Nothobranchius furzeri: one gene and its partners. The protein of the gene in region 1 purifies or fractionates together with the protein of each later gene. This does not show direct contact. Links are inferred from orthologs where the notes say so. Each region holds a gene or a part of one and is shown on either strand. Other genes may lie near its edges.

Evidence for each region.
Region 2: the proteins of sirt6 (region 1) and usp48 purify together in Homo sapiens (affinity purification with mass spectrometry; 3 studies listed by BioGRID, with this or other methods). This does not show direct contact. The link is inferred for Nothobranchius furzeri from reciprocal best matches to the Homo sapiens genes SIRT6 and USP48.
Region 3: the proteins of sirt6 (region 1) and g3bp1 purify together in Homo sapiens (affinity purification with mass spectrometry; 3 studies listed by BioGRID and IntAct, with this or other methods). This does not show direct contact. The link is inferred for Nothobranchius furzeri from reciprocal best matches to the Homo sapiens genes SIRT6 and G3BP1.
Region 4: the proteins of sirt6 (region 1) and chd4b purify together in Homo sapiens (affinity purification with mass spectrometry; 3 studies listed by BioGRID, with this or other methods). This does not show direct contact. The link is inferred for Nothobranchius furzeri from reciprocal best matches to the Homo sapiens genes SIRT6 and CHD4.

What each region holds. Positions count from the first base shown.
Region 1 is NC_091751.1:57,910,686-57,918,268, reverse strand, and holds the start of sirt6 (NAD-dependent protein deacylase sirtuin-6), read right to left. Parts: upstream 3,963-7,583; 5' UTR 3,889-3,962; coding exon 3,823-3,888; intron 3,516-3,822; coding exon 3,388-3,515; intron 1-3,387. Other genes in the region: cdc34b (cell division cycle 34 homolog (S. cerevisiae) b), read right to left, coding at 5,851-6,061, 6,175-6,309. UniProt on the Homo sapiens protein: NAD-dependent protein deacetylase, deacylase and mono-ADP-ribosyltransferase that plays an essential role in DNA damage repair, telomere maintenance, metabolic homeostasis, inflammation, tumorigenesis and aging.
Region 2 is NC_091743.1:4,790,264-4,797,747, forward strand, and holds the start of usp48 (ubiquitin carboxyl-terminal hydrolase 48), read right to left. Parts: upstream 3,944-7,484; 5' UTR 3,429-3,943; coding exon 3,295-3,428; intron 2,989-3,294; coding exon 2,868-2,988; intron 2,745-2,867; coding exon 2,603-2,744; intron 1-2,602.
Region 3 is NC_091741.1:69,281,894-69,289,291, forward strand, and holds the start of g3bp1 (ras GTPase-activating protein-binding protein 1), read right to left. Parts: upstream 3,921-7,398; 5' UTR 3,786-3,920; intron 2,369-3,785; 5' UTR 2,347-2,368; coding exon 2,252-2,346; intron 2,147-2,251; coding exon 2,065-2,146; intron 1,217-2,064; coding exon 1,043-1,216; intron 973-1,042; coding exon 882-972; intron 1-881. UniProt on the Homo sapiens protein: Protein involved in various processes, such as stress granule formation and innate immunity. Plays an essential role in stress granule formation.
Region 4 is NC_091745.1:74,030,177-74,037,866, forward strand, and holds the start of chd4b (chromodomain-helicase-DNA-binding protein 4), read right to left. Parts: upstream 4,909-7,690; 5' UTR 4,760-4,908; coding exon 4,696-4,759; intron 4,250-4,695; coding exon 4,125-4,249; intron 1-4,124. UniProt on the Homo sapiens protein: ATP-dependent chromatin-remodeling factor that binds and distorts nucleosomal DNA. Acts as a component of the histone deacetylase NuRD complex which participates in the remodeling of chromatin.

The DNA of each region.
Region 1 (7,583 bases):
AAATAACTTTAGCCTCAATAAAGTTTAATGGTTACAACTGAAATCACTAATGAACCAAAATGTTAATCTGATCATGAAAAATAAAGCATTAAAAAAATCTGCCTACAGCTAAATGAAAGAAAATAACCTTCAACAGTCAGGAGAAGTCTAAAAATGGATAATACATTATTTTATATACCAAAGAGTCTAAAACTACCCAAGGAGCTGATGTGGAGTCCATCTCATGTTGAGTTTCTGGTCGTATACACCCTCTCATCTAAATACAACTGAAAAAAACTACAAGACAGCTACAATCTAAACTTTGTTGTATAGTTTGTGGATCTATGACATTTCTAGAAGTTGCTCTTTTTATACAATTGTCTCTGAAACCAAGTAAAATTATATTTAAAAACTATGCTTGGTTTACATTAGTGAACTAAGCTCACACTGATCTATAAATGGTAGACTTTGAACAATTAAAGGTCTGGAACGCTCTTTTAGTCATTACATTTGAAGTGGTTACTTATACTTCTCCATTAGCTGTGGAGTGTTGCAAAGAAATTCCTCACCAGTACAACAGAGGGTTGGTGGTTAGGGTAGGGTATTGCACTTTTCTGGGGTATCCTGTCACCATTACAGTCCTGTATCCAGTCCAAGATAGTGTATTTACTATGGAGTTTATATTGTGTTATTTTTGTATTTCAGATTCCTTTTAACATAGACAAATTTGTCCCTCATATTTCGCCACCTCTTTGTGTGTTCGCCACCTTTAAACCCACGTTTCCTGTCATTTCCATCCACAAATAAAACGGTTGCTTTTTACTCCTCTAGTCACGGGTGAATAAAACACTCACATTTTCAGAGATTTTCCACAAGTTATTCTTCAAGCTGCTCTGTGTCTGCTGCTAGATATCTTCGGCACTCTTTATTTTTTGAAGGACAAATGGAGGTGCTGTTGACAAATTTTAAAGAAATGGCCAATCACAAGCTTTACTCGCCTCAGACCAATCTTGAAACGGAGGCATTTGGAGTCAGTCATCCATGCTTTTATTACCTCTCGCCTGGACTGTGTAAACGCCCTCCTAGTTGGTGCTCCGGTCTCTGCCCTGAATCGGCTGCAGGTCGTCGAGAACGCTGCTGCCAGGTTCTTGACAAACATGCACTAACGTAGCTATATTACCCCAGTCCTGACACATCTTCACTGGCACCCTGTCATTTTCCGAGTACAGTTTAAGGTATTGATTTTTGTCTTTAAAGCACTCAACGAAGAAGAAGCTACAATGATGTTCTGCTGAGCTGTGGTGGCCTCATGGAGGGGGCCATCGTCTAGCACAATGCTGCTAACCACTCAAACATTCTCCCTCTCCTGATAATAACGTTTTGCTTTCCTTGACGTTGGATGTGCTACTGCTAGTTTATCCGTTTAATTATAGATCCACTAGGATAAATACAATAAAGTTTATCTCTCACCAAATAGAATATTTACTAAGAAATCACAATGTAACTATAGACACATTACTGTCTGTCTGTCTGTGTGTGTGTGTGTGTGTGTGTGTGTGTGTGTGTGTGTGTGTGTGTGTGTGTGTGTGTGTGTGTTATACTGAGCCAGGATTCTCTGGAGGTTTCTTCCTGTTAAAAGGGAGTTTTCCTCTCCACTGTCGCTTTATGCTTGCTTATTATGAGGATTGCTGTAAAGTCACTAGTCAGTGACTTGATGCAATTTGCTGGGTTCCTTATATAGGAAACATTATTTCTGATTGGCTTAATGAACTGACCTGAATTGGAATGTTTATTATGTGAAGTGCCTTGAGAAGACTCTTGTCGTGATTTGGCGCTATATAAATAAACTTGAATTGAACGACCTGTCACCTCCTAATCTCTCTGACCTGCTCACTCCCTATGTACCCACGCGCACGTTGAGGTCGGCTGGCCTCCTGCTGCTTTGCACTCCCCCGATGCGTTACAAATCATGGGGTGAACGAGCATTTGTACATGCTGCCCCAAAGCTGTGAAACTCTACCTATTACAGTTCGACAGGCTCCATCATTGGCGGTTTTTAAATCTCGTTTAAACACCCACTTCTACGATTTGGCTTTTACGCCGTGAGTCGTTTTGTTTTATTGTATTATTGTTTTGATGTGTTCTTAGTATTCCTCATGTTTTATTTGCTTTTATTGATCGGCATTTTTATCCTCTGTTGTTGCTGCTTTGATGGGTCGTGATTTGGTCCAGCCTGTGCAGCACTTTGGGCAGCTCCCATGCTGCGTTTTAAATGTGCTATATAAACAAACTATGGTATGGTAAGCTTGTAGTTTCTTGTCTTGTTCAACAGATGTTTAAATGGTAAATGGCCTGTATTTGTATAGCGCCTTCTTAGGGTCATACAACCCCCCCCCCCCCCCCCCCCCCCCCCCAAGGCATTTCACAACACAATCAGTCATTCACAAACTGGTGGGGATGAGCTACGATGTAGCCACAGATGCCCTGGGGTGCACTGACAGAAGCGGGGCTGTGGAGCACTGGCGTCACCGATCCCTCTGACCACCACAAGCAGGCAAGGTAGGTTAAGTGTCTTGCCCAAGGACACAATGACAGTGACAAACTGAGCGGGGCTTGAACCTGCAAACTTCCAATTACTGGACAACACGCTCTACCTCCTGAGCTACTGCTGTGTTTAGAAAAGTGGGCTCGACTCTGTCCGTCCTTGGCTGCCTGTTGGAAAGCCCTCTCAACAATGGATAATGGTGTTGCGTGTTTCCGTACTGACGCAGATGGAAAAGTATAAATTTGGCTTAGGCCTTCCAAATCGTGAGCCATGGTGGGTGAGTCCATGGATGTTAAGAGTCAGTGTAATGTAGATCTGTCAGGCTTTTAAAAACCTAGCATTTCACCATCTATTTTCTATCAGATGCCAATGCAGGAGATAGGTGTAGGAGACTATTTTCATGTTCAGCCTGCATGAAAAACTCTGAGTGACCCATTGTAATCAGAAATACGATTTTAAAAAATGGTTTCCAGTGTTCCACACCTTTAATAACACAATACAATACAATTATTGATGTCAAGTTGTTGTTATTGTTGTTGTTAGCCTCAGGGGCAACATGCCGATTATCACTTGTAAGTCGCTTTGGACAAAAGCGTCTGCTAAATACATAAACATAAACAATACATATCTTCCATCATAAGCTGATTAAGTTGTTCAAAATTAGTTTGCACATATGAGAACCAAGATTTACTCTTTTACAGTCATAAAGACAAAATAAAAGCTAAGAAATCTACCAAATGAGGACCAGCTGTACCACTTTGATGAGTGGAAGATCCGAATTCAGGTGTGTGTGATCACATCAAATGGAAAAATCCGCTAGAATGCTTTTAATCATTAGCAGGAACAAACATATTGTCTCTCACCTGAAGTCAGGGATGCCTGCTGAGGTGCTAATTCCAGCTCCAGAGTGGACAACCAAGTACTGAGATTCTTTAATCAGCTGAGCGAGGGCTTCCACTTTTGCTTTTAGCTCCTCCGGATTATCAAAACTCTGGCACAGATCAAAAACACACAATTAAACAATTAGCAAGGGGGCGACTATTGTATACAACCGTGCCAGATGTGTGGCAACAACAAAAGAACACACCATCATCTATCCTCCACCGTGCTTCATAGTGTTTATGTTAAATAACAAAGAGGCTAACACAGCACAGACGGTCTGCTCTACAACACCGTCTTTATATTATTACTCTTAAACGAACCAAACAAAAATGCATTCTCAATGAAAGCGACGCTACGTTGCTAATTTAACTAGCTCTTTGAAAAGCTCTCGGAGCGATACAACACCTAAATGTTACCTCAGGTAGACCGCAAACACCCTTATCCGCGTAAGGCGATAGTCCTGCAGCGTAGTTCACAGACATGACTGTAACTGTTTATTTTTTTTTTCTTTGTTTTACAAACTGTTCTTGTTTTATCTGTTGCGTATTTCTTCCAGCCAGGTTTAGGGTGCTTCGTTTGAATGACGACATCACTGTGCGCCGACACATGCTGCATTCAAGAACTTCAGGAATTAAAATACCTCAACGTGCGCTCCACCTTCGTTCAGACCAGTTTAGACTTGTGGTAGAGATTAGATTAGACCGTACAGCTGTTAGAAATTGAGTAAAAATTTAAATCCAAATTACACAATGAAACTGAATATATTAGAATAAAAAGTCTGATAATAAAAACTGAAAAATCCCACAGAACAAAACGGTTCGGTGCCTTTTAAAAATGGGATTTAACCTGATCAGACATTCCACAAACAAGGACATTTATTCTCAAACATATCTGTAAAATGACTACATTTAGACTAAAACTAAACAAAAATCTTCCATCTTCACCTGCAGAACAACTTTTAAAAAATCATTTAAATGACTCCAAGCTTTAAAAACAGTATGCATTTTTCTTTCAAATTAATCTTTATTTTTCATTTTTAAATATTTGAGAAAAAAAAAACAGACAGAAAAGTAAAACCATATGGTGATCATTCATACGTGTGCATATTGGATTATGGTTCCTGTAGAAGCTGTGAACTGACACTGAAGACCACCGAAAGAGGAAAGGAGTTGCTCGTCTCAATTGTTTTGTCGCGTATAATTTTATCCTGAGTAATTCAATATGATGTCCCAATTAAAGTAAATAAAACAATAATGCTTACTGAAGACAAAATTACACATAGGACATCCACACACTCTAAAAACAAAATCAAAACCACTCTTACAAAAAAATAAATCAATAAAGGGGGCTAACATTTCATTTTCAGTTGTAGGGCTGAAGAAGTTTGATCTCGGTAGTACACACCGACACAAGACTACCTATTCCAGTGCATGCCGAACATCTAACAAAGAAAAACTAAAATCATAGGGCCTGCAAGAAAGCAAAAAGAGAAACATCTGGCAAAGCGTATTAAAATTTAATTTACACTCTGCTTTAGTTCTTCGGGTCCATCAGGCGGCTCAGAGAGCAACGCTGAGGAGAAATACAATTCTAATCAATAATTAGTTCTGCCCCTCTAACCTTCAACAACTTGATTATTACACAACTTTAATAACAAGTTCATTCAAAAAAACACAACCCCACACTGAGTGACAGAAAAACACATCCAAGATAAAAACCCAGCAGAGATCAATTTCATGTTTTAGTAAGAATGTTCATATGAGGAGCTGACTCAGCAGACTCCAGCAGACGGGACGGCCCTCCATTGCCACGAGTCTCTCATGACGTTGGGAAACAGTCCACCAATTTAAAAAATAAAAATAAAAAGACAAAAAGCTTTCAAAGAAGTTCTGGCATGCATGAGAACTTTGAACATACTGTCCATGAAAACTCCTCCATGTCCTGCCAATCAAAGACAGAAACTGTAAAATATGGGACACTTGCAGTCCTTTGTCCATCTTGAAGTCTGTAAAAGTTTCCACCACGAGGCGGACAACCAGTGAGACACCCCCAGTTACAATTAGAGAAATACAGCTATGCAAAACAGGTGAAGTGATGGTTTAAGAGTTTGCACCAGTTCAGTGATCATGAAACCCAACCAAAAATATTTCATACTAAAACCAGGACTGGATTTTGTGAGCAAAGTAAGCTTCAGTGTGATGAAAAGTTCTCGAAGTTGGAAAAAAAAATTGGTGGCTGTGCTGGTGCAAAAGTGACCACAGTCTGACCCTCTCGCAACGAGGCATCAGTTTTAACCTCTGAGGCTGAAGGAAAAAAGCTCTTGTACTGATTTAGAAGGAAGCTTCCAATCTCTCTTGGTTGCAAACCAAGAATATCTGGCAACCCAGGAAGAGTTAAAGGATGAGCATTCGTCAGCTAGGTTGGGTTTTCTGACAACAAGAATGTCACGACTCCTCATTGCCCGAGTCATCCTCGTCATAGCAACAGTCGCCGTCTCCCCCCTCCACGTCATCGTCTTCATAGTAATAGTCATAGAAGAGGTCAGAGCCTTCGTCTGGCGGCGGGGCGCGTGTACGAACGCAGTATTCAGCTAGCGTGGTGGGCACCTTCACGCCATCTCGCTCTGCTTCTGCCTTTGTGGCCAGCACCTGTTTCCTGAAGGGATTTGTTTTATGAAGACTGAATTACTTTTGTGTGGATGGTGTGGCTTTGAAAATCTTTTAGAAATATTTGAGGTTTGTCTTAAATAACATTACACTAATGTTTACCTGATGATCTCTACATATTCCCGGTCCTTGCCTTTGCTGTCTCTCCATTTCCGGTACATGACAGAGGCGTCCACGTTGGCAGGGGAGAAGGTGTTGGGTTCATTTAGCAGCGAGATCACGCTCAGCAAAATGGTCCTAGAAGCAAAAAACAAAGGCAACTTAGTATAGAACCATAAGAAAACGACTTTAGGTGAATTAAAAAGTTTTAAACACATAAAAAATATTTTAATGTCACAAGCCTAAATTACTTATTTCATCTACTATTTTATTAGAATAAACAATGAAGCACATATTACATTAGGAACTTAAAGCTAATTGATAAAACATGTATTAAAAAAACCTGTCAGACCCATGTGCTACCACCCTACCAGAATCAGAATCAGAATAGGTTTATTGCCATTTTCAGTGAACAAACAATTCACAAACTAGGAACTTGCTTCGGCACTAATGTGCTACATATAACATGAATAATAAGATTAAAAATAGAATAAAATAGAATAAAATATAATAATTAAAAAAACTAGAATAAAACTTTCAGCTAAAATGGCAGGTAATGGTAACATGGCCGATAACGTGACGTTGTGTCGAGTACAGAAGACCAGCATGGTTGTGTGTTTATAATCTATTCACAAGTCTAACGGCAGATGGAAAGAAGCTGTTCTTATGGCAGGAGGTTCTGGTCCGGATGGACCGTAACCTCCTGCCTGAGGGAAGCGGCTCAAAAAGTCTGTGACCCGGGTGCGAAGGGTCAGCTGTTATCCGGCCTGCACGCCCCCGAGTTCTGGAGACGTACAGGTCCTGGAGAGATGGAGGGCTGCAGCCAATCACCTTCTCAGCAGAGCGCACAATGCGCACTGACAAGCCTTTACATTACATTTATAAAACGTAGCATTGTGAGTAAGGTTTTAGTGAGTCGTTATGGGAAACAGAAAGAAGCTGCTTCTGTTTGTGGCCAAAGGAACAGCCTTTGTGACAGACTTCCTGATCTACAGATCTAATGTGTCTGCAGCAAAAATGCAAATGAGGAAATTAGGTTAGGTTAACGGTATACCACCTGCAACAACAAAAACATAAGAGCTGCACTGCATCAAGTGACCGAAACCACCAGAGCTTACATCTTTGTAACACTGCTGAAGTTGTGTGATTTCGACTACTACAGATCACAGGTTTAATATCACTTGTGAGTGTGACATCGTTGTGGTGGCTTTTACATAGATAGTTTCTTGTTGAATAGAAATCTGGCTCTCAGTTACAGAAAAAGATCAAAGATACATTTTTTTGTGCACAGATTGCATAATGTGAGCCTGACAAATAACCTCAGAAGGAAGTTTATAATAAATAAAGATGCATTTTCTCCCTCTTCTGCAGCAAAATGCTGTCAAACTCATGCGATACACTTATTGTGAGTC
Region 2 (7,484 bases), on another chromosome or scaffold:
GCTTTTAGGGCTTGTGCGTCATATAGGACTGCGGTGGAGGTGGGGCAGTTTCAGGCTGAGCATAAGGTGTCTGCTGATGAGGCGGTGCGTCATGTGGGGGTACGGGCTGGTGCATCTAGACCTTGTACTCTGTCTCTGTCAACTGGAGGTGGGGGTGAGGGAGTGGGTGTGGTGGTTGTGAGGGGTAAGAGGATGTTCTTGAGGTTTCTGGTTGAGGCCTTGTGGAGGGTGAAGCATGTGCTGTCCAACAAGTACAATGTGGCTAGCGAAGTGACTGCGGATGCGGGGACCCTTTTGATGTGTCCCTGACGCGTCCAGCCTGCCTAGATTAAAGAAGAATCTAGTGTGCTGGACCAGAGAAACCACAAAACGTGTTGAATACCGGCCCTTGAGGCCTGGAACTGAATAGCACTTCTCTGAGATCATGATGCCCTTCACCAGTGGTGTCCAACACTCGTCCTGGAGAGCAGCGCGGTTTCGTTGTCTTCGACATGCCTGATTCAGTGGCTGAATTACAGGTTCTAACTCTGCTGAAACCTGTTAATCACTGTAAATCACATGTGGCAGAACTGGACACCACTGCTTTACACAAACTGTCAACTGACATTGACTTATTTTTACCTGCTTTATATTTAATACTTGGTCAGATAATTAACTTGTTAAATTTACTTTGGTTATATGTTTGATTGTGAAACTGAGCAGTGTACAAAATTAAGATTGAATAGTTGGTTTAATTCAGAGTTCAAAAACTAAGTCTCTCTCTCTCTCTCTCTCTCTCTCTCTCTCTCTCTCTCTCTCTCTCTCTCTCTCTCTCTCTCCTCTCTCCCTCTCTCTCTCTCTCTCTCTCTCTCTCTCTCTCTCTCTCTCTCTCTCTCTATATATATATATATATATATATATATATATATATATACCATAAATCCTCTAATACAGGCCCGGGCATGTATTTGACTCAAGCTCACCAAGCTCCAGGCCTTTATTGGAAGGAGGACCAGAATTAGAGGCAGGCCTCTATTTCTATTTGAGCAAAATGAGCTAATGGTTCGCTGGAGTTTTTGACAATTAAAATTGCGCCCACATTTTCAAAGTTAAACACATTTCTTTTAACAACGGTAGTTTCTGCTTCAGCCCTCTCCCCCCTCCCCCTGCGCAGCGGCAGCAAACTCACTGATGTGCCTGCAGCCTCTCAGAGTTCCTGCTGCTCTAAACATTAAAATAATTATTTCATTTTCTGTTCCTCACCTCTGATTACCGTCCATGGTGTATGTTTGTTGCAACCACCAGGTACAAAAACTAACGTGTTTTTATTTGACTATTTTTCTGTCCTGCCTGTTTATTATCTTCCTGCATCTCCTCTCAATCCTAAAGAAAAACTGCTACCTGGGTTCATTTATATTCACCTTATGAGTTACCTTTGAACTGCAGTTCTAAAAGATCTACCGACCGCAAAAACAGCGGAGTGCTCGCTGCTTGCCGGCCGCATCAGTGATCGGTGCGTCACCGGAGGACAAGGTGATGTGCCCCGCTCCACAGTGAAATGCATCAGGTGCAAATAAAAAACAGAAAACATAAAAGGAAATGAACCGATATGAACAATCGCGTGTTAAATTAGTTTTTGAGGTGGCGACACCTAATTTGATAATGTTACTGTGGCCGTGCTCAGGACGCAGATCTACCGTCCGCAAAAACAGCGGAGTGCTCGCTGCTTGGCGGCCGCATCAGTGATCGGTTCGTCACCGGAGGACAAGGTGATGCGCCCCGCTCCACAGCAGCGAAACACATCAGGCGCAAATAAAAGACAGAAAACATTAAAGGAAATGAACCGACATGAACGATCGCGTGTCAGTACCGACGCTCTGGCACAGCGTGTTGCCCCCCCCCCCCCCCCCCCCCCCCGATGCGCAGGAGCTTGTCACCTGCTGACAGCAGGCTGCTGTCTTTTCCGAGGGCTGCATCTTGCCGGTCATTATCACGTGACAGCGACTAGTCGATGACAGGCATAAAAAGTCACTATAGTGAAGTCGACTAGTCACTAGTTCATACAACCCCTACTGCTCCCCAGTGTTCTGCAGCATAATCAGCACGTTCTCTTTGAACTTGATATCAAATTTTCGCCTCCTCTTCGTCTCCGCATGGTTAAAGTTACCCTCGCGGTCTATCACTGGCAAATCAAAAGTGAGACGATGACACAACCGCCCCCCGTACTTGCTTGTTACCACATTCCACCCGGCCACAATAAGAGACCGGCCATTATTCACCTCCGCCGACTCCGACACCGGCCAAAATATGAGACCCAGCCGTTAATTGAATACAGGCCTGTATTAGAGGATTTACGGTATATATATATATATATAGATATATATATATCTATCTATATATATATATATATATATATATATATATATATATGGATAGATATATATATATATACATATATAGTACAACTAAAGCTACTAAAATTAAAATGACTAGTGTAACGTGGAATTTGCCTTTGGTTCTCTCTGAAAATCCACGTATCTGAGGTGGATGCTGTTAATTCTTGGGGTTAAAACCTGGAAAAAGTCACAACAAAGGTCACACCCAGATACAGTTGTAGTTATACCAGATTGAATGTTGTGTTCCTCTGCTCGGGAATTGTGGAACTGGTAAAGGCTTCTTCGAAGCTCCAAGTTATGGAACCATACTTGCAGGAATGTGTTGACGTAGCATGTTGCTCCAAGGTTGGTCAGACCAACAAAGGTGTTCTATAAAGACACACAGACAGACAGGGAGAATTAAGGTATCAGCTCTAGTCTAGATGATAGAACAATGGTGGTATTAACACCTAAGAAACACTAGCTGAGTGAGCAGATAGTAGAAAGAAGTACCTTGTCCCGCCGTTCTGAATTTGGATCATCAATATTATGGAAAACGTTTTCATCTATCTCCCCAAGCCATGCCTGTTCACCAATTCCAACAAGACAGTTGGGATTCCCTCTGCAATTCCTCCTAGGGGAAAATGAGTCCTGGTCATCATAGCCACTTTAAACAAGGCTTCTGTTTCAAAAGGATGTGGTACTGAAGCACCACGGTGCTAAACAACAGCACAGCACTGCAGCACATAAACGTGGCACTTCTAACTTTTTTTACTGTTTATGAGGCTGCCAGTAAGCATTAGGCAGTGCTGTCAGCACCACAACTGAAAACCGAGGCTAGTGTCTTTGCAGCGTTATAAGAGGCTGGTCACTGAAATGGTCAATAATGTGTTTTTGCTGGCAGCGAAGCGCAACGATCGTGTTAAAAATGTTAAAGTACCTGCAGGCTCCTCTCTTGCAGGCCGGGAGGTTGATGCGGTATGCTAGCTCTATGTGTTCTTGCTTGATTTCTTCTGGTTTTACCGATTCCACCCAACGCCAAGCCGCTTTCTCCAGTTGTACGCGAGGTGCCATTATCCCACGATGCAAACTTTACTATAGTCACAAATAATAAACAATGGCAAGAAAGCAAATGACTACAGCAGTCCGAGCTGTTCCCAAACAATGCTAGCATAGCCAACTAGCCAAAGCTAAATGAGCACATACGACCGTTAATAGCCACTCTTCACTGGGATGCTAAGCTAAAAACTGGCTTCGTATGACTCTTATTGAATTGAGAATTAAAACAGGCACCACTTGCCGCAACACATTCAACACAACAATTTTGCGTTCTGCGATCTTTTCTTCGTGGAAAGTAGTAAACTGCTCGAAATCGCTAATATTTAGCTAGCTACACCGGTTAAGCTAACGTGTCATTTAGCCTAATTTAGCCAAGGGCTTACTTTGTTTACGTAAACTGACGCACACCTAACACATTTATTGTGCTGAAGACAAATGGAATCGGACCTATTATGTGTGTAACTTCATCAATATGATCTTAGAAGTCCACATTTTATTTGCAGCTTATTTGAGATTTAGCGCCCTTACGTCAAGTTATAAATAAATAAACTCTCGGTTCTAAATCAACACGACGTGAACGAGTGACGCAGGACACGTTCTGCAGCGGAAGCCCTCGCCCCCTACGCTCTGAAGCTCCTTTTATTTATTTATTTATTTATTCATTCATTCATTTCGTCAGCACTTTTTTATTTTATTATTATTTTTTATTCATTTAGACATTTGAATAACAAACATACATGGCATTGTAGAATATAGAAAGGGTATAAACATTCCACATCTTGTAATAACAAGTTGAACAAGTTATGTATACTTAAACAAAAAGGTATACTTTAGGAGAAAACAGATTAACAAAATAACTGGATAAAAATTTGAAATAAAAATAAATAAATAAATAAAATGCTCAAGGTACAAATAAACAAGTAAAACAAGTGAAATTATACATTCGGCACAGCTCTAGTGTTTTACACGCTTTGGAGTTAGTACTGTTATTAAGATTCTTCAGATAATTGGAAAACAGGGCTTTAAAAGCAAATATGTTTGGACGCTGTTGAGAGAATTTTGTACAATGTATGTGAAATTTGGCAAAAATGATCAGAAGATTAATAATATTTTTTTTTCCTGAAATAATTTTATCGGTATGTGAGAGGCCAAATAGAATATGGTGAAACTTCAATTTACAAGAGGGATCAATTTTGGTGTTTATAAAATTATTTAGATCAATTCAAAATACATGTGTATAAGTGCATTCCCAAAATAAATGACATATTGTTTCCTCTGCATTGCTGCAAAAAGTACAAAGAGTATCAATATTTTTCTTACGTTTAACCAGATATGTCTTTACCGGATAACATCTGTGGATCAACTTAAAAGAAACCTCTCTTATCTTATTAGTTATAATAAATTTTCTTGGTAGAATCCAAGTGTTTTTCCAGTCTATATCATTGTAAATATTGTTCCAGTAAAATACAGCTGCATGTTTGGAAACAATATCTCTTTGAATGATTTGTCTAATACATTGATTTGTGGCTTTATCCCTCAATAAAGGACATATGTTACCGATGAATATGCTACCGGGATTTAGTTCTGGAATAATACAATTTCTACCCTTAGGAGCATACACACACTCTGAAGCTCCTACCAGCAATTGACCCTTTGCACGTGACGTCACGCCACTCATGTGACCTCCCCCTTCACCATGATGGACGGCAAAAAGATTGTTTACACCCGTTGAAACTGCAGTAAAGCTAGTCAAAACAAGCTAGTTTGTAGCCTTTTATCGCTTTTATTTAGTTGATTTGATAGTAAAATGGTTTTAGCTTGCTGTGTTGTTGGCTGCACTAACAGACAAGGATGTAAACTCAACTAGTTTTGATTTTTTTAATAACTTTGATGGAGACCGAGGACAGAGATGAACTGCCCGTCAAGTGGACTAGCAGCGAACATGTTTTTACCGGGTAAGATTAACGTTCATTTATTTCACGAGGAAGACAAGGACAGGGATAAATGTAATGTGCTTATACTAGTTATTGATAATCAAGGCCGGATTATCATTGCACCCACAGCCACAAGGGGGCCCACCAAGCAGCAGTCTTTTTTGTGTGTGCAGCAGTCTTAAAGAGCAAGTAACGTCAGTTAACTTTTTTTTGCTGATGAACTGTATAAATGAGTGTCCAATAGTGTTTTAAATGTGTGTATTCATTATTTTAGCATTTTGGTGCCTTTTCTTTAAAAATTCTGCCTAAATACTATAGCGCCACCGTCAGCTTTAAACATAGAGTTTGAGTCATTTTGAATACACTTTAGCCAATGACTAAAGAGAAAGATACTACGTAAACCAGTAGAGTACTACGTAGCAGCTCTGTGTCAAAGTTATGAAAGCATCGAGAGTCTCGGCCACGCCTTGTGGCGAGTTGGAAGTTGGATTTGCAAGCGAGTGTAAGACGGTTAGCAGTAGTTCAGCATTAGCATATAGCATTAGCATATCCTAATCTTTAGCATAGCTTTTAGTGTTACACATACTTATTTAGTGTTAGTTTGGCTGTTGGATATTGTAGTTTAGTTTGTGTTATTAGGAAAGTAGTTCGGGTTTAGTGTTCCATATCGGGTTAGTATGGTGAGAAGGTGTAGTGTAGTGGGTTGCGGTGGCTCTGTGGGGGTGTCTCTATGCTGCTTTGTTTTGGTCACTTATGAGCGTGAGGCGAGTGGTGTTACGACTCTTCCTGGGGAGTTTGGCTCGTGTGCAAAAAGGAAGGGACAATAACACGGGATTTTAAAGTTTAAATGATGATCAGGTTTATTTACAACTACAAAAAAACTTAAATCTTTCCATCCACAGGTTGGGAATAATAAAACTAATTCTGCCTGTGGGGAATTAAAACAAAGTACGAATAAGTAGGGATGTCCCACTGGGCAAAGATTACTGGGTTCTGGACCAAAATAAGGATCTCCAAAGGTCCAAACTCTAAACTGGGTGGTTAAACCAAACTCAAGGTGATGTTTTAAACTAAACCGAAAACCCACAAAACTCTAAATGTAATAAAAGGGAGATCTACACCACAAAAAAGATTAACTCTAAACCAAAACGTAACAGCTTATACAAACACAAGAAGCTGTTAGCGAATATGCTAACAGTAGCTTTACCAATGTTAAGTTCAAGTTACCAAGTTTAAATAAACCAAAAATACCCAGCAGCAAACAGACCAGCACGGAGGAGAGACTGCTACCACCAAAACAGCTCTCCTCATGTCTGAAAGAAGCTCCTTTATGAAGGGAGAAACGCTCCCGGTGATTTTCTACATCTGCGATAGAGACGAAGCAGCGCATCTGACCCCGGAAGTAGTTGTCCGTTGCCGGGAGACGAAGGCGGGCAAAACAGGAAAAGAATCTCGTAGCGGACGGACATTGTTCCGGGTCTTCGGTATTTGGCGGAGATGTTAGTGAAGGCGGAGAAGAGGGCCAACTAGAGGAAAAACAGGCAGATTCCTCTTCTATTTACAAACCCCTGGGGATGCAGCAAGTGGACGTGGTGCGTTGACTACCGGATCTGACGTCGACAAAGTTTTAGAATCGAGCCGTCGACGTCATCGAGGCTTCGCTACAGCCCTAACAGACAGCATTACAGCGTGAAATCCAGCTCCACAGCGTGACCCGGTTCTGTAAGGATTTCTTTTCAGGGGGTCGCATTTCAGGCTCTCCACATCATATGTGACTGACTTTTACGTTATAACAACAATCACACACTAGGAATGTTATAAAGCACCTTTATAGGACAGTTTCTTTTGTATATTATCTGACTTTATAAACTCCAACAACAATGTGCTTTTATTTTATTTTTTTTTCAGGCTAAATCTGCCCAAGACATTGGCTGTCAGACTGATTTAGCTGCAAGAATGCACTTGTCCAGGCTGACGTGAAGCCTTACCGGCATAGCAAAGGTGAATTATTTTTAATAATCGTCTAAGCAAACATTTTATTATCACCTTCTAGTTTTAATTTGTTTTACAGATTATTGTTACACGTGATTTTATGCTCTTTTAAACAATTATAAATGTGCTGCTTCTTTGTTTTTAC
Region 3 (7,398 bases), on another chromosome or scaffold:
TTTGGTTTCATAAACGGCAATTTTCGCCAACATTTTTTTCAAGTTAGCAACCAAATTTAAGACTTCACTAAATCGATTTAAGACATTTAAGGGTCTTAATTTTCCTTTCATCAAATTCATGACTTTTAAGACGCCGCGGATACCCTGATCAATGGAATAATAAACTGATTTTAAATGAATGTTTTAGAGGGATTATTTCTCTACCTTAGACCCATCCCCATGGACCAGTTTAACCATTGTTACAAATAATCTGCTCCAGTAAACCATCAATATACAGTTTCTATAGATCTCAAAAAATGGAAAATGGTGGATGTTAAAGGCAGAGTGTGCAATATTTTTACTTGTTTACTATCAAATTCTGTGTTCACAAACTTGACCTTTGTCATTAACAAATCTCACCAAAGTCCATTCTAAATATTCATATTAGCTTTAAATGTTACGTTTTTATAAACATAAAAGAAGGTTGACACTGTCCATTAACCATCTTAATTACCATTGCTGTTTAGGGACTTACAAGATACAATGCTCCACGTTTTGCCTTTGTGCTTTGGCATGAAAGTTCTTCCTCTTTGGTTTCTTGCTCTGCTTGAACTACATGTGATCGCTGGATTGAAAACTGGAAGGGAGTCCATGAATGCCAAGTGACAGTGTGACGCAGATACGTCAAGGACTTTCTAACCCTAGAGCTTCACCGTCAGAAGCTAATGCAGCAGATTGGTGTAGGAGACTATTTTCATGTTCAGCCTGCTTGAAAAACCCAAAGTGACCGATTATGAACAGAAATATTAAAAAAATGTTTTTTAAACCTCTTTTAAACTTGCTACATTACACCAATTTCAGAGAGAAAAATGTTTAGGTCATAAAACAAAACAGTTTCTCACCTTCTGGAGGCTCAGAGTCAGAGTCACCAAACACCTCGTCTTGGTAACGAAACACGTCGTTGTGGACGTAGAATTTATTTGCCACCGTACCCTGGAAAAACATGCATGTGAATAAACTGATCAGATCAATGAAAAAAATATATTAATAATCTAATACCAACCTCTGGTGCCAGAACGAAGGTCTGCATGAACTTCCTCATGGGCTGCATGTTATTAGACAGCTCGCCCATCACCTGCACCACCACGCCTTCGTTCAGAGTAGCGTGAGCGTCCACATGTCTGATCTTAGTGTGGCAGTCTCGGAAACTCAAAGCCATCACTCTTTTATGGATCTCCTGATAAAAAAAAAATTCAAAAGATTTAACGAACTGAAGATTTAATTTGGGCATTTAACAGCAATCAATCATTTCTCAATTATCCAACTACATGACAAGAGCGATAATGGTTATTTTAACAAGCATTAGAATAAAACAATTTACGTGAGGATTAATAAATCAGAAAGTACTGATAAACATTCATCAGAATGTTAAACTACCTAGAAAACTTAGTTTCTGGAAGAAAAAAACAAGTGTGTAACAATGACTCTTGAAAAGAAAATATATTCATGAATATTTCACATTCTAGATTCATGAGACTATGAGACACACCTAACAGGCCTTTTCCAACAGCACTACTCAGGCTAAAACAGCTCAGTGCAGCGTGGGTTAACTCGGCTCACCACAGAGTACTTGGCTTTCCTTGCCTGCTCAGAGACAAAAAGTGGGTGCACCCCTCATAGCGGATGGGGGGGACCACAGCATTTGCTTGTGCAGGGATCTTTACGCGACAAAAATAGCACAAGGTCATCAGTACACACTGTGAGGTGACCTGCATGCTCCACAGAAACAACTCTGCACAAAAATAAAGGTGATGTTGAACACTCTTCAGTTTTATGGTTTCAGACAGCAGACAGAAGGCTCTGGAGCAACCAGTGACTCCGCCCCCTAGCCAATCAGTGGCCGACAGTCGAAATACCGGTTCAGCTCTTGGAACCAAAACAGAGGGACTGAAAAGTAGAGGGAAAGCAGGGGAAAAATACCAAAACGCGCCGTTGGACAAAAGCAATCAGACCAAACCGAACCCTCCCGAGTTGCACCAAGTATTGCCGCTGGAAAATGCCTCTAACTGGGTGAAGCCCACTTACAGATTGTCCATAAACCGCCTCTACTGGTTTGCCGTTGCTGTCCAGGCCACCATGCACATAGGAGGAGTTCTTTCCGTAAAACCTGAACAAAAAGACAAACTAGTTGTTTGTACAAATATTTAACAATTTATCATAAAACCATTTAAACTTCAAAATCAAACCCTCCACAAGCAGCTGACTTCCGTACCTGTGCAGGTAGTCGGGGGCCTGGTTCAGGAGTGTGTAATACTGTCGGACAAACTCTCGCCCGACCAGCTGGGCACTTGGCTTCTCCATCACCATTTCTTTGGTCAACTGGAAATCTCTGCAAATAAGAAAAGTGTCACTGACAAAGAAAATGACGGACTGTGATTCCAAGTAGGGACAAAGAAACTGGTGATTTGATCCAAGAATCAGAATAAAATAACTTCATTAATCCGACAGTGGAGAAATTCATAAGGCAGCTACTTCCACAGACTACAGAGAGTGAAATCATTAGTCTTGATATATTTACATCAATTTGTAAAAATGAAATAAAAACTTGTAGCTCAGGTTCCTGATCAAAGACAATATTTTTAACTGTAAAATGTTTTAATGTAAACATTGATAACTAATAGTCATCAAAAACTATTGTCTTCATTTAGTTTTTAACAATCCTGCAACAATAATTTTGGCACCTAGCGTTATGCAGCACATTATGGCAACATTTGATGAATGAGTTGGTGAGAGAACCTGTTTCTGCTCAGGCAGGAGGCAAATAAAGAACAGGTAATCAAACCTGAGAATTTACGTTAGTCACATAGAAGCTACGGTCTAATCCTTCTTCTATCAGATCATTCAGAACCAGAAATGAGCATCCTCATAAAGACAACCAGCGAAATCCCATCCATCATGAAATGAAACCGAGTTAAAGAAACAAGCAAAGCAATCCATCGAGATCAGAATGTGCCACCGGGCCACGATGCGCGCAGAGGATAAGCTTGGACTTGTGTTTATTATCTTAAGTCACGGTCTTGAGTAAAGGTGCTCGAACTGTAAGCAGACAAAGGCCACGCCGTGCCAGCCGTGATGGAGTCATGGAGGCCCCCGCTCGCCTCAGGGACTAAAGGCCAGTCCGGCGGCCGTTACCAGATATAACCTGAGCACACATGGCACGACGCCCGGCCACACCACGGAGCTGAACAACGACAGCTGGAGCAGCTCACGGCCTCAAAGCTGAACAGAGACCCGTCTGCTGCTAGGTTACGGAAGGAGCCCCAGCACGTGTCCCGCACGGTCCCTGGTCTAACCTTTCGCTTTTAGCGACCACACACCCAAGGTGGTAGTTTATACACAAATAAAACCAACGAAACACTACCAAATTCGGTTCGATCATACAATTCCAAATGTGGAAAGTAATATTGTAAAGAAAGAAAACGGGAGTCACGACTGAAAGGGCGGTGGCTATTTCCTGAAATAGCAAAAGCGAAACTTGGGGATTAATAATTATTTTCAAATAAGTTACAATTTCAAACTTTCAGTAACAGCCTTGTGTTTTAAATAATTTAATAATTAAGCGAACTGCACAGTTATAACACCTATGTAATAGCTTAGCTACAATGGCCAAAACCAGCTAACATCATCGCAAGGCCAGAAAATAGACGGAGACCGGGACGCCAACCCAGTTAATCAAATAAGCGCGGCGAAATGAAAATTTGCTTTTTCGAAAATAGGATAGCATAAATAGGAACGAAACAACTCACCAACTGATCAAACTATTAAAATGAAAACGTTGCTTTGAAATAATGTGACTTTTTTTAACCAGCGTAGCAGCTGCCTGTTAACTAGCGGCTTCACAACGTGCTGGAGTACCCGGATACCGGTGGTTTCACCCTCGCAATCGCAACTGAACATGATGTCCCGCCTCTCAGAGCTTCTCTGGCCAATAAGATTAAGGTTTTAGTCAGCAACCAATTAAATAAAGCGCCAAGGAGTATCCCGGATGAAAATGGAAGTTTGAGTAACGGTTTAAGGTGCGATGGTTTTAAGAACTGGCGTCTCCCGTAGTCAATATGCACTGTTACATTTTCTCCACTTGGAGGCGACAAAAGTGTTTGGCCAACATTTGAGCTAATGTAATTTGTGGAAGATTGATGCAAGCGCGTTTTATCTGAGATTAGACTGATTTATGCTGATTCTGTCTCGAAACAAAACAATTCAGACGTTATGTCAACTAAAATGAAAAGCAAAAGAGTTACAAATGTATAAATATTTGGACAACTTTTTAAACACCTAACATGGAACATTTGAGACAACATTGATTGAACAATATTTATGTTGGTACTGAAATCTTCAGATTCCCCCTTCTCTGTGTCATAATATTCATTGTGAATGTCATAACGTGATTTTTTTAAGTTTGTTTCTTTCATTAAAAAATTGTTGTTTTTTTTATTATTTCTTGAGTTTGTTTCTGTTCTTAGCTCTGTTAACTTTGGAGGGGTCAATAGACTGCCTGGGAAATTTGTCCTTTTAGAAACTTTTATAACTTGTAATAATTATTTAGGAAAAAAGAAATTCAAAATGAAATAATTGAATATTGTGGAGCTGGAAAAGAAATCCTCCAGAGTCATTCCTCACATATGATATCTTAAGTATTAGATTCATGTGTAGTACAAATGTTTTGCTAATGTGCTTTTTTTATGGAAACTGGAAAGAAATCTATCTAATCAGCTATTATCTATTAATCACTAATTAATCCAGCTGTAATTATTGACAATCCTAAAAAAGTTAGCCAGAACACAGATGATGGTTCTTTAAAAAAAATTCAAACATCAAATCTAAAAGGTGCCACTTCAAATGTTTAACTCACCTGTATTTTTTATTTTTTATTTCGTAGTTTTTGTTAAATTCTTAAAATTCTCCTTAAAACCACACCTATGACTTTATGACCTGAATGAGATTTTAATGTGTTAAATCACCAAACCTTCTCTTCAACAGCATGATGAACTCATTATTTTTTCCCTGCTGTGGCAGAGAGGAGGGACTTCAGGCTTCATGGGCCCTGGGGTTGTTTCACATTCCTGACGCTGGAGTCTGGATGAGCGGGTGGAGATGGTAACAGGGTGCTCCGGATCTCCCTCTGCTGTCTCCCAGGGGACCACGAGCAGCCTTAGCCAGGGAAAATGAAACCTCTCAGTGCAACAACGTTGAACAGACAGACTGAAGACATGAACAACCTTAAATGGCAGTCAGATCTGAACAGCGTGTTCTCATGTTGAATTGGCTCATTCAAGCCGATTTTCATAGACACACCTTCAATTCATGCAGCCAGGATTTTCTGATGTTACAAATAAGTGTTCAGTGCAAACTTTTAATTACTCACATCACATTACAATGTCAAAAAGAGTTTAGCTTGACACACAGTGTTTAATCCCTGTCTTTGCTTTCTTATCACAATTTTTAAGACTTTTTCGTTTGCGTTCTGATCAGAGATGGTGCAAAATGATCAACCAAATTCGAGGCTTCACTAATTATTTTAATGTGAAAAGCAGTTGTGATGAGGAAGAGTTCTGAAGCAGCTGCATGGAGAGAAACCTTTAGAAATCCTAAATGGAAGACCAAAGAACAATTCAAAGTAACCAAAGCAGAAAGTGTAACCTAAGTTCTGCAGAAACCTGGACTATCTGGACCAGAGCAGAACACCGGCTTAAGTAAACAACATGACTAACAAAACAAGCAGAGTATTTATATGGAGGTCATAAATTCCACATCAATAATGGGTGTGAATACACACTGGGACCAGAAAAGCTCAGGAGTACGTGGAATACAAAACTACATGGGACAAGTTATTAAGAAATAAAAAGAGAACAAATAGAAATAAAAGCATTTCAGATAACACAAAAATCTCTGTAGGTAGAATATATTATTAAAAAAAACATCTATGACGCTCTTCTAAACAAGAAAAGGTCCCTTTGGACGCTGTCTGCTGTAAATTAAATATGCTGAGCAGCAGAATCCCAGTTCCTTTTGTTTCTGTCCTCTTGTGTCGTCCTACAGACCACCTCCTCTCCTGAGTCAGTTCTTGTTACATAAGGTCTCCATTCATGCTCAGGATGGACCATTTATTATGATCACAGAACTGATCAGCTCAGTCTCACTCAAACTGAACTGGACCATCCCGAGGTTTTTAACTGGAATAAACTCGACGTGATATTAAACCGAATTAGAATGGATCTGGTCCCAAAAGAAAAAAAAGAGTAAAAGAAATTTTTTTAAATATGTTTTTATATTTGATTTAATTTAATGATACTGCTCCACTCCTCCTTGAACCGTCACCTTATCGTGATGGAGGAGTTTGAGTGCCCTAATGATCCTAGGAGCTATGTTGTCTGGGGCACTTTGTGCCCCTGGTAGGGTCTCCCATGACAAATTGGTCTTAGGTGAAGGGTGAGACAAAGAACAGTTCACAGGATCTTTCATGGAGGTAAAGTCAAAGAGTCGGAGTACCCGGCCCGGAGGGTTACCGGGGTTCCACCCTGGAGCCAGGCCTGGGGTTGGGGCCCGTGAGCGAGCGCCTAGTGGCCGGGCTTTCGCCCATGGGGCCCAGCCTGAACTGGATACATGGGCTCATCCAGCTGTGGGCCCACCACCCGCAGGAGGAACATGAAGGGTCCGGTGCAATGTGGATCGGGTGGCAGACCGAGGCGGGAGCCTTGGCGGTCCGATCCCCGGACAAGAAAACTGGTTTTTGGGACATGGAACATCACCTCGCTGGCGGGGAAGGAGCAGGAGCTTGTGGCAGAGGTTGTGCGGTACCGGCTAGATATAGTCGGACTCACCTCGACACATAGTATTGGCTCTGGAACCCAAGTCCTTGAGAGGGGTTGGACACTTTCCTTTGCTGGAGTTGCTCCGGGTGAGAGGCGGAGGGCTGGGGTTGGCTTTTTGTTAGCCCCAAGACTCTCTGCCTGTGTGTTGGGGTTTACCCCGGGGGACGAGAGGGTAGCTTCCCTGCACCTTCGGGTCGGGACATGTGTCCTGACTGTTGTTTGTGCTTATGGGCCAAATATCAGTTCAGATTACCCACCCTTTTTGGAGTCCCGGGGTCGAGTGCTAGATAGTACTCCATTGTCCTGCTAGGGGACTTCATTGCTCATGTGGGCAATGACAGCTTGACCTGGAGGGGTGATTGGGAGGAAAGGCCCGCCTGATCTGAACTCGAGTGGTGTTTCGTTATTGGACTTCTGTGCAAGCCGCAGTTTGGCCATAACGAACGCCATGTTCGAACATAAGGATGCCCATCAGTACACTTGGTACCAGGGCAGCCTAGGTCGTAGGTCGATGATAGACTTTGTAATCGTATCATCTGACCTGCGG
Region 4 (7,690 bases), on another chromosome or scaffold:
TGCCCGGTCACTCCGCTGTGAGAACTCTAGAGGTGGCATAATGTACGGTGCAAGATTTGTGAGCCACACTGCACATCTCGCTCTAGCAGGACACGTTACGTTACCCCCCCCCAAAGGCAGAACCGGTCCAAAGTTTGGGATCAAAAGTGCAGCTATACGCAGATTGGCTAACGCTAAGGCTAATGGATAGCAGTTTCACGACCAAGTTGCGCACAAAAAATATATGATGATGGCAAAACTAAGAATGACTAAACTCTACAAGCGGACGAAAAGTCCCCACCATCCTGTTTATTCTGCACCTGCAGCGCTATGGATCAGAACCGCTGCAGATACGAGTCACATTACTGCTGACGCATGAAGTATGGCAAGCCGTTAGGGGTGGGCAATATAAGCGATATAAGATAGAAACGATATAAAATTGGGTAATAAGAGTTTTTGGCTATATCGCAATACCGCGATAACACACGTCACTAAGAGGTGCACCCTGCTGACATTGGGACAACAGAATGGCAGTGACTGCAAGCATGGAGTGGGCGGAGGAGGAGGCCTATATGCCTCATGTGGCATATATTTGCCACATGAGGATATTTAAAAGCATGTCATTTTGACATATATAAACAGAGGAAAAAATATATCGCAATATATATTGTTACCGCACATGCTTCAGACTATATCGCAATATAGATTTGAGGCCATATCGCCCAGCCCTACAAGCCGTTGTAATATATAATTCACAAACGCTTCTATCTTTGAACATAATTTGAACAGGATTATTGCCAACCCGTACATAATAGACATGCCACCATTAGATTGTTAGCAGCAGAAATTAAATGTTATTACCATTTCCATTACAAATGCATGTTAATGAAATGCATTATATTTTACTGGAGATACTTATGTGTTATTTTGACTAAGACGAGTGTTATTAAAACAAACCTAAAATGTTACTGAAATGTAGGTCAAAATTTTTAAAATTTTTTAACTATAAATATCAGATGGGAAAAAGGGAACTAAACACCAATCTAATGCACATTATTGAGTCTTTTATAATATTTTGCCATTAAAAAGTGAGGCAGTTGAATGCACAGAGTATGCATGTGCTGGCGCATGGTCAGGATGGTACCACCTCTGCCTCAATTTGAGACAGGAAAAACCCTGTATTGTACTCTCATCACGAGCTGTTCGCGTGACTCCATGGCTGTATTTTCATTGGTCAATTGCAGACAGGAGTTGTGAGAAGAAGAAGAAGAAAGTATTATTTCTATAGCGCCTCTCAAGATAAAAATCACGAGGCGCTTCACAAAAGCAAAAAAATGTAAAAATATAAAAAAGCATTTAGAAAATGTTTAAAAATATATTTAAAATGAGCAAAAATAGGCAACTGTGATTTAAATAAATGTTTAGAAAGAGAGTGTGAACAGGAAAGAGGGAAATCAGTGGATCCTGAAAAAGGTGGAATAGGTGGGGAGAGCAGAATAAAGAGAGAGAGGTGAAGAAGGTCATACAAAAGCCAGCTTGAACAGGTGTCTTCAGCTGCTTTTTAAAGGAGACCACTGAGTCCACTGATCTCAGGCTCAGGGGGAGAGTTCCAGAGTCTGGGGGCCACAGCAGCAAATGATCTGTCACCTTTGACCTTTAGCCTGGTGCTGCACAACCAGTAGGCTTTGATCACTGGACCTCAGGGACCTGCTGGGGGTGTAGGGACTAAGAAGATCACCAATGTAAGATGGTGCTTGTCCATGTAAGGCCCTATAGACCAGAACCAGGATCTTGAAATGAACCCTGAAGTTGACTGGCAGCCAGTGAAGCTGGAGGAGAAGCGGGGTGATGTGGGTGTGTTTGGAGGACTTGGTCAGAAGCCGAGCACAGGCGTTCTGAACCACCTGTAGACGGTTCAGGGAGGTTCTGCTCAGACACGTGAAAAGAGAGTTACAGTAGTCTAAGCGTGAGGAGATGAAGGTGTGGAGGACTGTCTCAAGTTCAGTGCGGGACAGAATGGAACTCAGCTTAGCAACGTTCCTGAGATGGAAGAAGGAAGAGCGAACAAGAGAACTGACATGAGAATCCAGGGTGAGAGCTGGGTCAAAGGTCACGCCAAGATTCCTGACAGAAGGTTTGGTGTGAGAAGCAAGCTGACCAAGAGAGTCTCTGACTTTGGGAACTAGCTTGTCTGGGGCACAGATGAGGTTGAAGCAAAGCTTGAAAACTGCTGCAAGCTGACTTTGTAAGAATGCTCATTAAGCTGTTGCAGAGCCGGTTACACTGGACGGCCACAGACTTGCAAATCACCCTCACACTGACCATTTTTTGTTACAATTCTCTTCACAATGAGGGATTTGTCTAGGAAGGCCAAAAAATGCAGTGTAGTCCGGGCTTCAGCAGTACAACAAATAACTTCTGGGTTGCTCCTGTTTACTGGCTAATATCCCATCACAAACTCTGGAGTTTTTGCCGGCCAGTGTTGAATAACAAATGCCAGTACAGACTCTGCTTCCCCGTGGGCTCACACAGGACCTGCCCAAGCCTTTGTGGGGCCCTGAGCAGGATTTCCTTGGAGGCCTTCATACCAACAAGTCAACAGCAGATGATTCATCATTCCTAGGCCACACTATGTGTGTACCATCCTATCATTAGCATAATTTGTAAGCAGCTTACGATTTTTAAAAAATGGCTTGTATTTGCGAAGCGCCTTCTTAGGGCTCTACAACCCCCCAAGGCACTTCACAACACAGTCATTCATTCACCCATACACACGCTGGTGGGGATGAGCTACGATGTAGCCACAGCTGTCCTGGGGCAAACTGACAGATCACATCACATCAGTGTTTTGATGGCTATTAATTTTAACTTTACAGGAGTAATGAATCAACAAAAATGCTTACTTTAGCATTTCCCAATGCAGTGTTGTTTAAATGTGGTATATTAATAAACATATTTCAAATATATTGGTTAAAGTTAGGGTTTCTGATAAACCGGCTATCAACTGTTAAGGGGCACCAATAGCCGGTTAAAGACATTTTGGAAAACGTGCATCCTTAACTCCTTTGCTGCCAGCGTTTCTCACCGTTTTTACAGTTTTTTTTAAAGAGTCAGAGAATGTTGCGCCCTAGGGTGATGTCGACGCCAAAACTACCAACTCACCTCTTACATCAGGAAGAATCCGCGCGTTTTGAGCGTTATCCGTTCTTTCATAATCCGTTGTTGACTTGTGATCGGCAGAAGCTTTTCCGGTTCGCGCCTCACTTTTTTTTACAGCAGCGGCCCAAAACGATCTCCTACCACATGGATTTGCTGCTTCCTGATCATGTGACGTGTGACGTATGCGGATAAAGATCGGCTTTAGAGCTGAGATGTTTGTTCTCACGGTGCGGGGGCTCGTTCCGACGCCCACACAGTAAAAACATGCAAATGACGTCTTTTGCCGTCACTGGCAGTGAATGAGTTAACAGAAAGTAATATTTAATTATTTTTCTGGGATTAGCATTATTTACTTTGTGTGGCACGGTGGAGAAACGAGGGCCCAGGCGGGATTCGATCCTCAGACTCCCGGGTGAGAGTCATACGCTCTAACCAGTCAGCCAAAGGGACATCCCACTGGCCAAGTAGCCAGGGCGCATGATCAATCAGGACACTGTGACAGGACACACACTGTCACATTTGTATTATTTAAAGTTATTAAAACATTATTTCAAGTCATCTGGGTGCTGTTTGGGGACCCCAAGCAGTCACCTTGTGCCGGCTCTGGGCTCACACATTTAAAAAAAAGACTAATTCCCTCTTTGTCCATGTCAAATGGAGAAAAACTAACAGCCCCCAGCTGCCTGATTAGAAAATCTGTGTCAATGTAACCTTCCTTCAAGCATGATTGAGACATTAGACCGTTTGTCTGACACTGAAATGTTATTTACAACATTTAAGTGTGACAAAAAATAAAACACAGCAGAATGTGTAGGGGGGGGGGCTCACCATCATAACTTTGTATAGCTTAACATATTTTTGTTATTTTTGTATTAAATATAGAGTTTTAACAGACTAAATGCCTTCTACAGTACCTTGACCTTTGGCCTAAACTTATAAAAGAGCTTATTTGGATGTATAAAACTTTATCAGAGCGGTAAACTCGCCTCCCGGATGGGTCTCTGCCTCTTGCTGCTCCTGCTCTCCCGGTTGCTCTTTTTGGCTTTCTTCTTCTTCTTTGACTTGGGTGCCTCTTCTGCGTCAGAGACAGCATCCTCCGGCTCGTCCTCGTCTGTAAAGAGACACGGTTACCGGCAGAGTACAGACGGACAGAAAGCACCGCTGCTGCAGACCAGAGGGGAGGGAAGAAAAAAAACAAAAACAAGGAGACCGCGCGCGCGCCGTGGCACGACTGGCAAATGTCCGAGCACGCGCGCACACATACACAGCGTAAATGCCACAACAGCAGGTTGAAACTTGTAGTTGAAACTTTGACAGTTCACGCCCACCGTGGCGAGGACACGCTGGTGGGCTGGGTTACACGAAAACAAATTAAAAAATAAAAACAAAACTCCGAACACTCTGCTGTCCAAGTTAGCTAACTAATCTATCATGGCGAGTGACCCGAGCCGACTACTCCTCGCTAGCTTGGGCTAACGCTAGCATCGCGTTGAAGGCGAGCTCAAGTTACACAGAGATGGACCTTCTTCAGGAGGGGAGGAAAGCAGGCGAGCTTACCGTGAAGAAGTGAGTGCTCGTCATCGGCTCCAAAGTCCTCCCTCTCATCCTCGCTGCAAGACATGTTCCCAGCGTTTCTATTTGAATTCTTGGTGTCCGAATAAATCCTCCGTAAACCTTGCTCCTCGGTCAGCGAGGGAGGAGGGAAAATGACGTGGGACTGGTGGATAATGGACCGGGGGTGTCCAGGAAGGGAGAGGAGGCGGGGGGGGGGGGGGTCTGGGTGCAAGAGAAAAAAATAAATAAAAATAACAATACATTGCACAGGCACGAAACTTCCTTGTTTGTTATTTACATGCCGTCCAATTATCCACCTGTCCTCTCAAGCAAGTTAAATTAAAAAGATTTTACCCGCTTTGACATTAACATTAGCTGATTTACAGGTAGAGAGCCCCACACGGGAGTAAAGTGTGGCTTTCAACGACAGCCTCAAAAGGAACCGCAAACGCGAGCCGTCTTGTCACTAGAGAAAAGTTTAAGCTTTGAAATTTCCACCGTCACACACTGGAAACTTACTGTACTGCGCGTGTAGTCCCGGCGTGAGGTGAGTTCTCCCTCGGTGCGAGAATCAACACAAATTAAACTGTTCCCGCTCCTGTTGTCGGCCTTTGGTGTCCATTCATTAATCCCTGTGTGGTGTTAGCAGTAACAAGCAGTTCTTGTCTTAATGACCCGAAACACGCGGCTCCGTCCCCCACTTCTCCTTCCCCCCTACCTTAACAGGCAGCGCTTAGCTAACATCCTCACAAACACACAAAGGGGACAGGCATCCCATAATAATCCACCCCCCTCCCACACTCGCACAGGACTCTGCATAGTTACCTCGCAACGGACAGACCATAATACTCAGCCTGCCCCCACCCCCCTTCACCATTCGCGCGCACACGCGTACACTGCCAGTGCTAGGTGCTAGACATGCGTGCACTAGACTCATAGCATGCACACTCCTTCCCCTTTCCACTAGTAGTCCCACCCCCCCCCCTTAGCAACCCCGTTGTCATGGTGACACCCCCCTCCCGCTCTCCATGACAGACCATAATACTCCAGCAGTGGCAGCATACATCCCATAATATGCAACACCTAAATAGACAAAAAGGTAAAAAAAAAAAAAACAGTCTGATGGTCTCTAGGGGAGCTGAAGTGAAGTCCTCTGGTGACAGACCATAATACTCACTGAGTGCCTAAAAGTAAAAACAGAAAGACTCCGGTGTTGCCCCTTTGTGGGGCTCAGACAGGTAGCCCACATACCAGCGGCGCGGTGCGCAGGTCACACAGGCCCGCTGAGCTGGAGCGTTTAACCAGACCCTGAAAGAGGCTGAGGCCTCCTGGTTCACCACTTCATCATCACAACCCGACTCCTCCAACTTACTCCATCAGCTCATGTATGATTTACTCCATCGGCAGCTCATGTACGATCAGGTATTCAGCTGCATCCCCGAGCAAGCAACACCTGTGCAGAGTGATGAATGGTTCTGGTTTTGACATTGGTTCATAAAAAACACACAAATGCAAATTAATTTTCCAAGTTTAGTTTGTAATCCAGTAAATTAGACTTGTGCCGCACCGCCTAACAAAACATTGTACAATGTTGTGAACATGACTAAAACATTCATATGTTTGGGTGCTCACGTTTGGGTGCTAACCTTCAACAGCTGCTCGGTAAACCAGCATTTTTTTACTTTTTGAGCCATCTTGTTGGAGTAAGATGAACTATTGAACAGATCCAAAGTAGAATTAAGGCCACATGTCCTTTAAATGCTAATGTGAGTTTATGTGCATTCATCTTTATACAAAATCAGTTTTGACCCTCTTGGATGCCAAATGAATTATTTACATTTCTTCGCTACGTAATGTGGTAAAATAAGTTATTGTATCAGTTTCAATCTGTTTTGTTCGACAAAGGCAACGTTTTCTACTAATAAAGAATTTTACTTGTTTCCTCTTAAAAGCATTGAAGTTAGTTATTGTAATTTCTACAATTCTCAGATTCATCACCTTTAAATTTTATTTTCAACGTCCCATGCATTTTTCGAAACATATTGTTAAAACCTAGCTTTGTGTCCTTTTTTGGCAAATAAATAAAACGTATTTATGACGTAGTTGGTTCAGTGGCGCACCCGAGGGTGGCATGGGGGCCATGGATGGCCATACCTGATAAATTAATTTGTTGGCCCTCTCATAAAAGGTCCTCGCCCCTTAATAAATCACACAAATCAAACAATCATCCTCTTTAATCAAGACATGAATGTTAAAGCAAAAAAGGAAATTAATTTTACTAAATAATTTTATTTTATTTTAATAAATAATTCATTTGATAAATCACCTATATATATATATATATATATATATATATATATATATATATATATATATATATATATATATATACATACATATATGTATGTATGTATGTATGTATGTATGTATGTATGTATATACACACACGTGTGCATGTCATTGAGGCTCACCATTTGCAAAAAAAATTGTGGATAATTTTGTTGAGAGAGCATCAAGCAACTTGAAAAGCTTTTTTAAAATCCTAAAACAATACATTTTGAAAAAAAAAATGAAATTAATTTTTGAAATGTTGTTTTCTTTCATGTTTGTGTTTCTTATATTTGAGGTAAATGTTCTGGATACATAGGCCTTTTGTTTTTTGTTGAAATTGAATGAAGGAGCAATGCACAGCTACAGGCTAAACTCTCCCAGAGTTACCAGAGAGACCAATTCGGGGGGGACACCCCAAATTTTTTTCACTGGCCCCCACTATGAAAATTTCCTAGGCGCGCCACTGCTCTGGCTAACCCACTCTGACTTGAGAACTGGCTGCTTCTTGCTGCGATGCTAAACACCTTTCTGTTGGGTTTTATTGCCTTTGAGCTGAGTATTGTATTATTTAAGAGTCGTTTTGGGTTTATCTTTAGACAATTAGTTTAGAGCAGCAGCAGCAGTGCTGCTTTTCTCATATTTCCCTCCTGATACAGTAGATATGGAA